Linked DNA regions of Canis lupus familiaris. The protein of the gene in region 3 interacts with the protein of the main gene of each other region in a pairwise test. Links are inferred from orthologs where the notes say so. Each region holds a gene or a part of one and is shown on either strand. Other genes may lie near its edges.

Evidence for each region.
Region 1: the proteins of SALL2 (region 3) and ZMIZ2 interact in binary tests that used the Homo sapiens proteins (3 or more experiments, as listed by UniProt). The two-hybrid records come from large-scale screens. The link is inferred for Canis lupus familiaris from reciprocal best matches to the Homo sapiens genes SALL2 and ZMIZ2.
Region 2: the proteins of SALL2 (region 3) and CEP76 interact in binary tests that used the Homo sapiens proteins (3 or more experiments, as listed by UniProt). The two-hybrid records come from large-scale screens. The link is inferred for Canis lupus familiaris from reciprocal best matches to the Homo sapiens genes SALL2 and CEP76.

Annotation. Positions count from the first base shown.
Region 1 is NC_049237.1:14,026,247-14,031,073, reverse strand, and holds the start of ZMIZ2 (zinc finger MIZ domain-containing protein 2), read left to right. Parts: upstream 1-1,647; 5' UTR 1,648-1,704; intron 1,705-1,992; exon of another isoform or gene 1,993-2,076; intron 2,077-2,702; exon of another isoform or gene 2,703-2,724; intron 2,725-3,103; exon of another isoform or gene 3,104-3,244; intron 3,245-4,827. UniProt on the Homo sapiens protein: Increases ligand-dependent transcriptional activity of AR and other nuclear hormone receptors.
Region 2 is NC_049228.1:78,180,522-78,185,595, forward strand, and holds the start of CEP76 (centrosomal protein of 76 kDa), read right to left. Parts: upstream 3,181-5,074; 5' UTR 3,108-3,180; coding exon 3,045-3,107; intron 2,020-3,044; coding exon 1,864-2,019; intron 838-1,863; coding exon 756-837; intron 128-755; coding exon 1-127. Other genes in the region: PSMG2 (proteasome assembly chaperone 2), read left to right, coding at 3,698-3,754. UniProt on the Homo sapiens protein: Centrosomal protein involved in regulation of centriole duplication. Required to limit centriole duplication to once per cell cycle by preventing centriole reduplication.
Region 3 is NC_049236.1:18,684,717-18,688,040, forward strand, and holds part of SALL2 (sal-like protein 2), read right to left. Parts: intron 3,240-3,324; exon of another isoform or gene 3,227-3,239; coding exon of another isoform or gene 3,160-3,226; intron 2,788-3,159; coding exon 1-2,787. UniProt on the Homo sapiens protein: Probable transcription factor that plays a role in eye development before, during, and after optic fissure closure.

The DNA.
Region 1 (4,827 bases), on a different chromosome or scaffold from region 3:
CCTCGAGCTTCGCCGGCTTGGTGTCACTGCGGGAGCCCTGGCTGCCCCCATGCCCCCCCCCCCCGCCCCGGTGCTGCCCCCTTGGACACTGCCCCAGATGCCTCCCAAATACCAGGGCAACCCCCCCGGGTCCCCAGGGTGCCACACTGGGGAGCCCACCCCCTGTGGCCTGCACTCAGCCTGCCACGTCCAGCCTGCCTTACGAGCTGGGGCCTGGGATCCCTGGTCTCCTCTGACCCTTCCCCCAGCCAGGCTTCTGCAGTTCTCCAATCCAGGCCAGCTCTGGAGGCTACCCCCTGTGTGGCTTTGTCTTGAGTAGATCCAGGTAAAAACTTTATGGTTGTCACTTCCACTTAGGCGGGGAGGAGGGGCTCTGCGTCCTTTCTTGGACATCTCGCCAGGGGCACAGACATTATTGGGTCCCACACAGGGTCATGCTGACTTGGTCCTTTGGGCCAGGTGGTGTCTGATGGGCATCTTTCTTGTAAAGGTACTTTCCTTTTTTTTTCTTTTTTCTTTTAAGATTTCATTTATTTATTTGACAAAGAGAGCGTGAGCGGGGGGAGGAGCAGAGAGAGAAGCAGACTCCCCACCCAGCCAGGAGCCAGACCCAGGGCTGGATCCCAGGACCCCAGGACCATGACCTGAGCCAAAGGCAGACACTTAGCCACCGAGGGGCCCAGTTAAGATACTATCCTATGCTCATAATGAACTGTAGCCTGGAGGAAGATCTTGGCACCATAAATATTTTCTTTCTTTTCTTTCTTTTCGTTCTTTCTTTTCTTTTTTTTTTTTTTTTAAGATTTTATTTATTTATTCATGAGAGACAGAGAGAGACACTGGCAGAGGAAGAAGCAGGCTCCATGCAGGGAGCCCGACGTGGGACTAGATCCCGGGGCTCCAGGATCACGCCCTGGGCTCAAGGCGGCGCTAAACCGCTGAGCCACCCGGGCTGCCCTGAAATACATTTTCTTACGTGTAGTTGGCACAGTAAAAAACATGAATTGTGGGGTGACTGGAAGAACATGGTCTCCCTAAAGCCAGGGCAGAAAAAAGGACTTAAAGGGTAATAGTAGCACGTGGAGGAGCCAGCGGATAAGAAACGGCGCTTGGTCCGCTAAAGGGGCGCAGCGACCCAGAGACCGCAGCAGCACGTGCGGCCAGCCCGGCTCCCCTCCCGGACCCCGGACCCCGGCCCCCGGCCCCCGGCCCCCGGCCCCCGGCCCCGGCCCCGGCCCCGGCCCCGGGAGGCCCCGCCCTCAGCCAGGCCCTACCCCCCGGAAGGCCGGCCTTTTGCCAGGCCCCTCCCCTCCCCTCCCCCGAAAGCCCCATCTCTCCCCGGGAGGCCCCGCCCCTCCGGCCGGCCCCGCCCCCAGCCGGGCTCCTCCCCTCCGCCCGGCCTCTCTCAGATTGGCGCCCCGCCCCCGCGCCCCCAGTCCTCCGGCCGGCCTCCGTCTGACCCGCCCCGCCCGCACTCAGGCCCCGCCCCTCCAGCCGCCCCCGCCCTCGACCGGGCCCCCTCCGCCAGGCCCCGCCCCCTAGCCGGGCTCCGACACCCTTCCCTGACAGGCCCCGCCCATCGGCAGGCCCCGTCGCCGCCGCCCGCCCCCGCCGCTCCGCCAGGCCCCGCCCCTCCATCAGGCCCCGCCCCGGTGGCAGGCTGCAGGGCGCGCGGGGGACTCCGCAGACACGGCTTTCGGACAGGTGTGGAGGGGGCGGGGGCGCCGGTGGTGGTCCGCCGCCGCTGGCGCTGCCCGGCCCGCCCCCGGCCCGCCCCCGGCCCGCCCCCGGCCCGGCCTGCAGCCCGGGCTCCTGCAGGCCCGCGGCCGCCCCGCGCGAGCGCCGGCTCTGGGATCCACTGCTCTGGCCTGGGGGCGGGGCCGGCGCGCGGCGTCATGCATATGCATGAGCGGCGCGGCGGCTCCATTGTGCCCTCGGAGCGGGCGGCGGCGCGATGGCGCGGGTGGCGGCGGCGGCGGCCCCGCGGCGGCGGGCGGCGCGGAGGGCGGGCTGAGCGCATGGAGCGGCGTGGGCCGGGGGCCTCGGCGGCGAGGGGCCGGGCTAGGCCGGGCGGAGGTGAGCGGGCCGGGTGGACAGGTGCGGGCGGCGGGGGCGGCAGGTGCGGCAGGTGCGCGCGGCGGGCAGGTGCGGCGCTCGGGGCCCGCGCTGCGGCGCCTCTGCCGGGCTCGGGCCGGGGTGGAGGCGGCCCCGCCGCCCACCTGCCGCACCTGCCGCGTGCGCGTCGTGCTCTCGGGCCCTCCGGCCGGCGCGCGGGCGGCCCTCACCTGAGCCTTTGTTGGGGTGGGCTGGAAGCCGGCCGGGCGCCCGAGGGGTGTGCGCGGCCCCGGCGACCTCCCGAGCCGGGAGGATGGCCCGGGGCCCTCGCCCCGCCTGGCCGCGCCGCCGCCACGCCGCGCTCGGGCTCGCCTCCGGGCTGGCTCTGGGCCGTGCGCGCCCACCAGCTGGGCGGCGTGGGGCCGCGGGGCCGCCCGAGGCCGGCGGAGCAGGCTGACCTTTCAGCCTCCCGCCGTTGTTTCTAAGGGGACACCCCTCGTCCCAGCCGCGCCGTCGCCGGGGCGGGAGGGTGCCCTCTCCCAGGACCCCCGTTTGCCTCTCTCCCTGCCCCGCTCTCCTTTCCCTCCTGCTTGCTCCCCTCCGGCCCGGATGCGCCCGTCCCTGCCCAGCTCTGTTCCTGATGGTTGCAGACCATCCACAGCCACGTCTGTAAGTCGGTTTCGCAGGGGCATACACGGAACGTGTGACTTGATCTGGGGGACGGTGGTGGATGCAGGGAGGGTGAGCAGACTCAGCCACCGCTTCCTGGGGAGCTAGAGCCCTCGGGCCTCCATCCAGGCTTCGTGAGAGGGGGGCCTGGCCTCCCCCAGCAGGTACTGGGCCTGAGGACTGGTCATGCCCAGGGGCTGGTTACAGGCAGGGGACAGAGGTCAGGGAGGAGGAAGGTAATGACAGGCAGGCAGGGTGCGCCTGGGGAGGACTCCAGGGACAGCCCGACTTCCTCACGAAGTGTCCACTGGCACTGCGTCCACTACAGGACTCAGGGTTTGAGCACAGAATGGCAGGTGTGTGTCCTCCGCTTTCCTAGGGTGGCTGCCACGTACCCATTGTGCACCCAGGCCCTTCGTAAGTGCTCGTTCCTGGGTGCTTTAGATGGGCTCCAGCACTTAGGCTGGTCGGTGTTGTGGCCTCACGTGGAGAGCAGCAGGACTTCCAGCCATCCAAGCATGTGAGTCCCCCCCTTGTGTCGTCCTGCCTCACTGAGCCACCATTTCCACCTTCTCCAAGCCCATCAGACTTGGGTGTCCCTCTGCTTGGACACGTGCCCTGGAAGCACAGGCTCCCTGCTGCCGGAGTGCCTGCCCCAGGACCACAGAGCAGGCGTGCCTTTCCGAGGTCAGGTGGCCTGTCATGGGGTGTGCTGCTCCTGGCTGACCAGGCGGCAGGGACGGAGGAGAGGTGCAAGAGAGCTGACCCACATTAACGTCTGCCTGTGGTTGGCACCCAGGAGACTGGGTGCAGCTGCTCCGAGGCCCTGGGAGGGGGTCTGAGTAGCGAGTTTCTGTAGCCGTCTTTCTGGGAGATGTGACCCAACCCAGAGAAAGCTCCAGGCTAACCACGTGCCAGGGCGGTTCTGCCGAGGGGTCCTGGCTTCCCGCTGGAGCTGTGGACAGCAGAGCCTCGGACCAGCAGAAGGGCCCCCGCCTCAGGCCTGCTCGGGCCTCCTTGTGCGCACGTGCACTCAGGCACACACGCACACACACACCAGGGCTTCTCCAGCTGTACCTCTCAGGCCAGGAAGTGAGAGGAGGGTCTTGCATTCAGAGCAGGGCTCTCCCTTTGTCGGGAGCAGAGGGCCATGGGGTACCCAACTTGGAGAGTGCAGGTCTCCCCAAGGAGGAGACCAGACTTAGTTTGGCAGGAAGTCACACACACACACACACACACACACACACACACACGCCCTGCACACCCAGACACCCATGCATGCAGTCAGCTCAGGGGGAACTGGAAATCTCTGTGGTCTCGTCCATAGCAGAGCAGCCTTTGGGGTGGAATTCCCCCGACCCATGTGATGTAGGAGTCGTCCTGGGGCCCCAGACCAGTAGCCTCTGCCTCCCCCACTCTCCACCTGGGGTCCCTGTAGCGGCAGCATCCTCACCCAGGCTCGTTAGGGATGCGGGTCCTCAGTTCCAGTCCTACAGTTGTGTGTGATGCGCCGGAGCTGGAGCTGGGGCCGCGGGAGTCCTCAGTGGTGCTCCCCCACCTGGCCAGGGGCTCGTCTTCCACCCACCCTTTGCTTCTGTAACCACAGAGTGGGCCTGGCCAACCCCACCAGCTTTGTTGTAGGGAAGGGTGGCCCTGGGCATTTCAGTGGAGAGAACAGGCCAAGCGGCGGCGGTTTTCTCATTAAACTTTTATTTTGAGGGAATTAAAGATTCACGTGCAGCTGAAAGAAATAACTGTGTGTCCTTTACCTGGTTACTCTAGTGGTGACATCTTATAATACGATAGGATAACGTCACACCGGGATGCTGCGTGGCTCCAGTCAAGATGCAGATACTCCCTCCCCACCTTCTGTTCACACCTGTTCCCTCCTCCCCACCTGGCAGTTGTGCTCTGCTTTTCATTCTGGGATTCCATCATTTCAGGAATGTTACATAAAGGGAATCCTACCGTGTGTAACCTTTGGGGACTGGCTTTCTCCACGCAGCGTGGTCTCTTGGGGCTTCCTGCCGCCTCCCCTCAAGCTCCCAGGCTGTGGGTGGCCCCTGAAGGGCTCGCCCCTCACCTGCAGGCCGTCCCCACTGA
Region 2 (5,074 bases), on a different chromosome or scaffold from region 3:
TGTAAACATAGAGTAAAGGTTGAACAAACTTGTCCAGGTAAAGGCTCAGGTTCTTGTAGATGTTCCAAGAAAGCTTTTCCACCCAAAACCTGAAGGTAAAGATACCTCCGTGTTGGATCAATATTAGCTGTAAAGTGTAGCAATATATATGAGGAAACTGCCAAACAACTTAAGGAATGTGATCAAGACAATAGGAAATAATAACTTGACAGAAATAAAACCAAAGACTAAATTAAAAAAGTAACAAATTTACTGTATACCAGGACCATTTGAAACCAAGAAAGAAAACATACACAATAAGATATATTTTTATCGGAGTTTTTATATTCTGGGTACTTTCTCCCAGCTAGAAAAGAGTCAGAGCCAAGGCTTAAGAAACCTTTGCTCTTCAGGTGCTTATCTAATAACACGCCTTCACCGCCAAAGCCAAACCAAACAAATATAAACTCAGCAAGTGTACTTTTTAGGCAATTACCGTTAAAAAAGCAAAGCTGTACAATGTTTATAAAACATATTATTAAAACATGAGAAACAGGTAATTCTGTTTTTGCTTCCACTCTGTGATATACTAAAGCTTCTGACATACACAACTTGGTGCAAAACAGAATCTAAGTTTTTTGGATGATTAATTACAAAAATGGTAAGAATCTCATTCGAGAAGGAAAAAAATGGTTTTCATCAAATACCAAACACTACAGCACATCAATATGTAGTACGGTGCAAAACGAAATCAATGTTAAAAGAAATATACATACTTTTTTTTAACAACGTTGATTGTCTATCAGTAAAACAAACAGGTTGTTTTGGAGAGGAAGGTAGTTCTTGATCAACACTGTCCTAGAAAGGTGGGAAAAAAGATGAAAACAAATTAGAAAACAAAAATTATAGCTAAGCAAAGAAACATCAACAATGGGTGGGACTAAGAACTAAACAGAAGTATACAGGATAAAGCCCCCTCAAGGAAACTCTTATTTTCCCAGCATAATTAAAATAATGAAAAGAGTTGATGAACTGGTCACTCCTAAACTTTAATAAGGAAATAAACTGTCTTCAGTGTCCACAGAATGCTATTAACAAATCCTTAATACCTTAAACAAGGTTAAACTTTTTCTAAACCTAATATGACATTTGGCTTATGATTCTACCATGAACTGATTTTAATAAGGAAATGACATTCACACAGCAGAAGCTGTTACTGGGTCAATTTTCAAACAAATGGGTTTATAAACCTCAAAAACCAAAAAAGGAGGCTGTATTAAAATACTTATTCCCTGATGTATTATGCACTCCATCCAATTTTTACATTATACTACTCATGTATTATTAGGTCACAGTTTCTCATTATTGCCTCATTTTCAAAAGAAGGCCCACTTACTATTTTGTGCACGGAGGCTTATCATCTCACTACCGACCTATTTGTATAAAGAGATTTGAAGGTTCTTACACAATTATTTTCTTTAAAAATTTGATAATCTGTTAATCACAGAGAATGAAGTTCTAAAACAATGTATTTAAAAAATATGCCTAATCTAAAAAAAATTATAAAACACTACTTGCGAAAAAGAACTAGGTTATGGTGAACTAATTTCACTAAAATATGTATACTTACAGATACAGACCTAGGGAATAACAACAGAAAATTCTGTCACTGTAAAGAGAAATATGGTATGTAACTCCAATCTCATTGATACATAATCCCACTTGCTACATTCAAGGGTAGAGTGAACTTATAGTAAGGATATTACCAGACAAAAATGGCCTTTTAAAGTGATTTTACTAAAAACAGGCCCCAAATATGGACCCAATAAGCAGCATTATGCCCAGGAACATATTCTCAAAATTCTTCCCCACCAAACTACTCACAGTAACAAAATTAAGTTCTTTCATCACATCATCAATGATTCCCCGACGTCTAAGGGCTTTGATCAAATCTTCCGTTGATAACTGTTGTTGATCAGGTGCCAATTCTTCCCGTATTGTCTCTGCAAGGATTTCTCTTATTCTGCCATGGACATCCATCTATGTAGAAAACTTGCAATATAACTCACGTTTATAAAGCTGACAAACATTGCCAATTAGCTAATTTCTTTCTAAAGCACCCAAAGGAAAAAAAAAATAATGGGAGAGTACTAGGGGCACCCGGGGGGCTCAGCGGTTGAGCGTCTCCCTTCCGCTCAGGGCGTGACCCCAGGGTCCCGGGATCGGATCGAGTGCCACATCGGGCTCCCTGCAGCGGACCTGCTTCTCCCTCTGTGTGTCTCAGGAATCAATAAATATCTAAAAAACAATAATGGGAGAGTGGACAAAATTCAAGACGGCTTTTCAAGCTAATAGTAAGTGTAAAATTATCGCTAGAATTCAATGAGAATAAAGCTAAGACTTTTATTTCATCCTAAATTTCTCTTAGCACAAATTCTAGAAATAATCTCTACTGGCTATCTACTACCTTTGTTACCATTTCCCCACAAATAACATTCAACGAAAACAGGCCTATTGGGAGTGTAGTATACGCAAGAGAACACAGACCTGGACTAGGAGATCAGAGTATGAATTTCAACGTTGAGCTTATGAGACGTGACCCTGAGTTGATCCGTTTACCCTGCATGAGTCTGGAAAAGATTACTGCAGGCTCAGGTCAAAGATGCTTTACACTGAGCACGGGACCTGGCATACAGGTGCACAGCAAACGGCAGCTTTCAGGGCTTCAGCTCCCTGCGTTCGGGGCTCTCGCTGGGCTCCGAAGGGCCGCAAGCACTCTCCGTGCAGACCTTCAGGAACGTCCCCCTGGCTCAACTTCAAGACACGAGTTTCACCCTTAAAGTAACTCTCACTCCTACCCTCCGAACATACATCTGCTGCAGCCCAGCTGGTATTCGGCCTGGCACCCCGAAGCCGCGGGGTGAGCGCCTCCTCCTCAGCGCGGCTGAGGCTGCCCTTCGCCGAGGCTGGAGGCGGCCCGGGCTGCACACTCGGAGCCCCCCGCCCGCGCCGCCGTCGGCCTCGCCCGGGACGCCAGGCGGGCGGCGCCAGGGCCGGACCCTCACCTTGCTCAGCTGCTGGTGGATGAGCTGCTTCAGCTCGGAGGCCTTCTCCGGAGGCAGCGACATGCTGCGGCCGCCGCTCGCCGCGCTTCCCCCGCCTCGGGCGCGCCCGGCCGGCCCCGGGGTGCCAGTAGCCGCGGGGCGGAGCCGCCGACCGCTCGGCCTCGCGCAGCTCCCGGGGGGCGCGGCGCCGCGTCAGGGCCGCGGCTGGGCGGGAGCCGAGGCGGCGGCGGCGGCGGCGCTCAACCGTGGCTTTCAAACGGCGCGGACTGCCGGGGCGCGGGCTGCCCCCGTCCGTGCCTGACCACGTCCGCCTCCGCTCCCGGCCTGGGGACGCCCACCGCGCCAGCCCACGCTCCCCGCCGCCCTGCCCCGCGGGGGTCTCCGCCCGCACTGCCCGCCCCCATCTCCCCCGGCGCCCGGCCCTTCGCGCACCGCGGACCGGCGCGGAGCTGGACTGGCCCCGCAGGACCCCACGCCGAGCGGCGGCCCGGGCCCCGCCCCCGCCCCGTGGCCCCGCCCCCCGCCCCGTGGCCCCGCCCCCCGCGCTGGGGACCGCGCTGCCAGACCTGGCGCGGCGCTCGCGGGTCCGCCCCCGCCCCCGGCCTCCTGGGCCCGCGCTCGGCCTTGCCTGTCCTCCCGCCCTCTGTGCCACCATGTTTGTCCCCTGCGGAGACTCGGTCCCCGACCTCGCGGGCCACACCCTTCTCATGGTGAGTCCCCGTTCCGCGAGCTCCGGGGCGCCGGCCGTGGGGGGCGCCTGGGGGCCGCCGGCGCCGTGGGTGGGGCTAGTTCTCCGGTCCCGGGACGCGGGACGCCGCCGGCACCTGCGGGTTTCGGGTTTGCGGCCCGCGCGGAGGAGGGTGGTCGCCGGGGGCGGCGCTCTGGTTACTCGGCGGCCGCCGTCCCCGGGCGTCTCCGAGACTGGACTCTGGTCTTCGCTGTCACACGGAGCGTGTTTGCTGGTTTCGGGTAACGTGCGACGCAGGTCGTGCGGGCCATTTTCTTTTCATTGTATCCTCGAAAATCTTTTTTTAGCTAAAATCAGAGCCATTCTTAAGCTGGCGAGACTTTAAGTCATTCGTTATTTGGTCGTTAACCAAAAACCTACGCATAAGGTAATAAAAGCAATGTTGGCCAGTCACTAACTCCTGCTTGGTTTTGGGTTTTTTGTTGTTTTTTTTTTTTTTTTTTTTTTTTGAAGACTTCACCTGTTGATTCATGAGACACACACACAGGCAGAGGGAGAAGCAGGCTCCATGCAGGGAGCCCGACGCCGGACTCGATCCCGGGTCTCCAGGATCACGCCCTGGGCTGAAGGTGGCGCTAAACCGCTGGGCCACCTGGGCTGCCCTAGGACAGCACTTTGGAAAGGACACAGAAGAATCCTAGGACTTACTGGGAGGGGAAGGACGCAAAGACCTGTTAAAGCTTTAAATGTGGAATCTCGGGGCCTGGGGTGAAAAAAATCCTCAGATAAAGACACAGAGAAGGGGTTGGCGGTAGCCAGAGGCAGGTGAGGATGAGAGTTGCTTGAGTGAGATAGATGAAGGCAGTCAAAAGGTACAAACCTCCAGTTATAAAGAGGTCCTAAGGATGTCTCGTACGGTGCAGTGACTATAATACAAAGTATTGCATAGTATATTTGAAACATGCTGAGAGAGTAGATTTTTTGAAGATTTCATTCATTTATGAGAGAGCTAGAGAGCACAAGCAGGAGGAGGGTGGGGAAAGAGAGAGGGTGACGCAGACTCCCCGCTGAGCAGGGAGCTGTAGGCTGCCTCCATCCCAGGACTCTTGGATAATGACCTGAGCCTAAGGCAGAGGCTTCACTAACTGAGCCACCCAGGCACCCTAAGAGAAGAAATCTTAAAAGTTCTCATTATGAGAGTTATTTATGACTATGTGGTTGATTGATATTAAAGTAAGCTTATTGTGGTAATCATTTCACAGTATATACATAGATACATATGTATCAAATTATATAGCTAAGACTGATACAATATCATATGTCCCTTATATCTCAATTTTTT
Region 3 (3,324 bases):
GAGCCAGCAGCATGTGCTTCTTGAGGATGGCCCGCTCGAGAAAGCTCTGCCTGCAGAAAACACAAGTGAAGAGCGGCCCTTCCCCGGGGTGGGCCTTCTGCGGCTCCTCCAGGGAGGTCTGCGCGCACAGCTCGCATGCCTTCCGGCCACTGCCATCGCCCGCCTCCTTCCTCCGCGCCTCCGGGGCGCCCAGCTCCTCCCCAGGGTCGCCGCCGCCGCCTTCCCCCTCCCGGGGCCCCTCCCGGGCCGCCGCTGCCTCCGCCTCCGCCTCGCCCCGCTCCTGCTCCTGCGCGCCCAGGGCCGCGGCCGCGCCTCCCTGCTCCGGGGGCTGCGTCTCCTCGGGGCGCTCGGGCGGCGGCGGGGCGGCCAGGCAAGGCTGCTGCGCCCCCTGCTCGTCGCCCTCCGGCCGCGGCCCGGCCTGCCCGGCCTGCCCCGCCACCGCCGCCGCGGCCCCCACGTCCTCCTCGGCCCCGGAGGCCTCCTCCGAGTCCCCGCGCACCGAGATGGCCTTCTCGCCGCCGCTCTCCGAGCCTCTCCCCGCCAGGGAGTCTTCGTCAGTCCCGTCCTCGTCGTCGTCCTCGTCGTCGTCCTCGTCCTCCGACAGCTCCTCCTCGGGGGACGGCTGCTGGGACGGCGGCTGCGGGCCGGGCCCGGGAACGGCGGGGAGCTCGGCGCCCTGGTCCGGGGCGGCGGCCCCGTTGGGGATCTGGCCCCCCAGGTGCATGCGGACGTGCTGCTGCAGGCTCACGGCGTTGGTGAACTTCTTCTGGCAGATGGGGCAGGAGTTCTGGGCGCGGGCGGCCGGGCTGGCCTTGTGGCCCACGAAGTGCGCGCGCAGGTTGCCCCGCGTGGAGAAGGCCCGGCCGCACACCTTGCACTTGAAGGGCCGCTCGCCCCCGTGCTGCCCGTAGTGCAGGCGCAGTGCGCGCGGGCAGCTCAGCACCCGCAGGCAGATGACGCACTGGTTGGGGCCCGAGGCGGCGGCCGAGGCCGTGGGCCCCGAGGCGGGGGGCGCCCCAGAGGTCGCGGACGACGGGGCGCCGGCCCCCTGCCGGTCGATCTTCTCCACCAGCTGCTGCAGCTTGGACGTCTCAGACGGCGAGGCCCCCAGAGGCTCCAGCACGTAGGGGAAGGGAAAGCCGCCTGCGGACTTGAAGTGGCTGGTCAGCAGCGCCCAGCTGGGCAGCGAGGTCACCAGCTTGCTCAGCTGCAGGCGGGCCGCCGGGCCCCCCTCCGCCACCCCGGCCGTGCCTGAGCCCTCGGCGCCGGGGGGCGTGTTTTCGTCGGCCTTGCTCTTCGGCTCGACGGCCTTCATGAGCACGAACTTGTTGAAGGCAGGGAGCGCGGGGGTGGCGGCTGCGCCCGCCCCGGTGGACAGCAGCGTGAGGCTCTCGGTGGCGCTGAGCGCCGCGCTGGAGGCCGCCAGGGGCTTGCGCTCCCCGCCGCCGGCCGCCGCGGCCACCTCCTCCTCGGCCTTCTCCGGCGGCACCGACATACCGTAGGGCAGGCCGCTGCTGGTCAGGACGTAGTCCAGGTGCTCGGGCACCGGATGCGGATTCATCTGCACGTGCGGGTACTTCTCGCGATGTCGGTGGAAGTGCACCTTGAGGTTGCCGCGCGTGGTAAAGCGGTTGCCACAGACATTACACTTATAGGGCCGCTCACCTGTGTGGGAACGCAGATGGATCTGCAGTGCACTGTCACTACCGAACACTTTAGCACAGAAGCGGCATTTGTGCCGGCCGCCGGGCTTCTCCAGGGGGCCCATCACTTCCCCGTAGCCCAGCTCACCGCTTCCGTTCTTTGGCTTCAGCAGCCCCGGGGAGGCGGCGGCCTCGAGGCCCCGAGCCGCGCCCAGGCACTGCGCCGCCAGCAGCCCCGTGGCGCCCGGGAACGCCAGGTGCGGCGAGGCCATCAGCGGCTCCGCGCTGCCGGACAGGGCTGCGGAGGCGGCGGCGGCCGGCTTGTGGCTCCGCCCGGCGCCCCCGGTGGGGAAAGCGGGCTGCGCCCCCAGCGGGTGGTACAGATGGAAGAACGCCTGCTTGGGCGCTTCGGCCCCTGAGGACGACGACGACGACGAGGAGGAGGACGGCGCCAGCGTCTTGCCGCTTTGCACAGGCTTGATGGGGCTGAAGAGGGGCAGCAGGGGCTTCGCGGAGGCGGCGGGCCCCGTCCCGGGCAGCTCGGAGGGGCTGGCGGGCGTGCCCGCGGCCTGGCCCAGGGAGCCGAGTAGCAGCACCTGGCGGCAGATCTGCTCCGTCATCTGCATCTGGTGGATCTGGCGCTGCTGCAGCACCCGCAGCTCCTCCAGGATCAGCGGGATGTTCAGGTGGCCGCTGCCCACCCCCGGGGGCGGCGGCGGCGGCGGGGGCGGCGGGGGCGGCGCGGGGGCGGATTCGGGAGGCAGCGGGGTCGCTCCCAGCTTGGGACTGGCCAAGATCAGGCCCCCGCCGCCCCCCGCGCCCGTGCCGGTGGCGTTGACCAGGAAGTGGCCCGCGGGCTCCTCCACTCTCCGCTCCGGGGCCCAGCTGGGGTCCGCGGGCGCGGCGCCCCCGGGGGCCGGCGGGGTGCTGTGCTCGGCCTCCATGACCTGGGGGCTCCTCCGACCCTCCGCCCGGGGCTCGGAAGACGTCGCGGAGCTGCTGGGGTTCTCCTGGCCCCCGATTATCACCATGACAGGGGGCTCGGTAGAACACGCATTCTGGTGCGCGAGGAATTCGGCTGGGTCGGTGAACTGCGCGCAGCACTTGGCGCAGACCTGGGGGTGGTCGTCCTCGCTGGCGTCGCCTGGGGGGGAGACAAGAGAGCGTGGGTGGCGCGGGCGCGGCGGGCGTGCGGGGGTTCCGACTGGCCCCGGGCCCGGGGGGGGGCTCGCCATCAGGCCGCACGGGACGCCGGCTCGCGCTCCACCGGGTGCACGCGGAACAGCCCGGCGTGGGGCGGGTGGGGGAGGGGCGGGCGCGCTGCGGCTCCTGCCTGGCTCCTGCCTGGCTCCTGCCGCCCCGGCCGCCCCCGCCCCCGCCCCCAACCCGGGCACCGCGGGCGCGCGGACGGGGGTCTGGACACAGAATCCAGCATTCCCCCTCCCCGCCGCGAAAGCCCCCCCCCGCGCGCGCCCTCCGCCCCCCCCCCCCCCCCCCGGGCAGGGCCCTACCGCACCTCCGGGCTCCGCCGGCTCCCCGCAGGGCCCCCCGAGGCGAGAGCTCCTCCCGGTTTCGTGCGCCATGGCTGCGGGGGGGGGGTGGGGGCCGGGTGGAGGGGGAGACAATGGGTATCGGGGTTGCGGGAGGCGGCACTGGCCGCCGGGGCTGCGGCAGCCTCCGC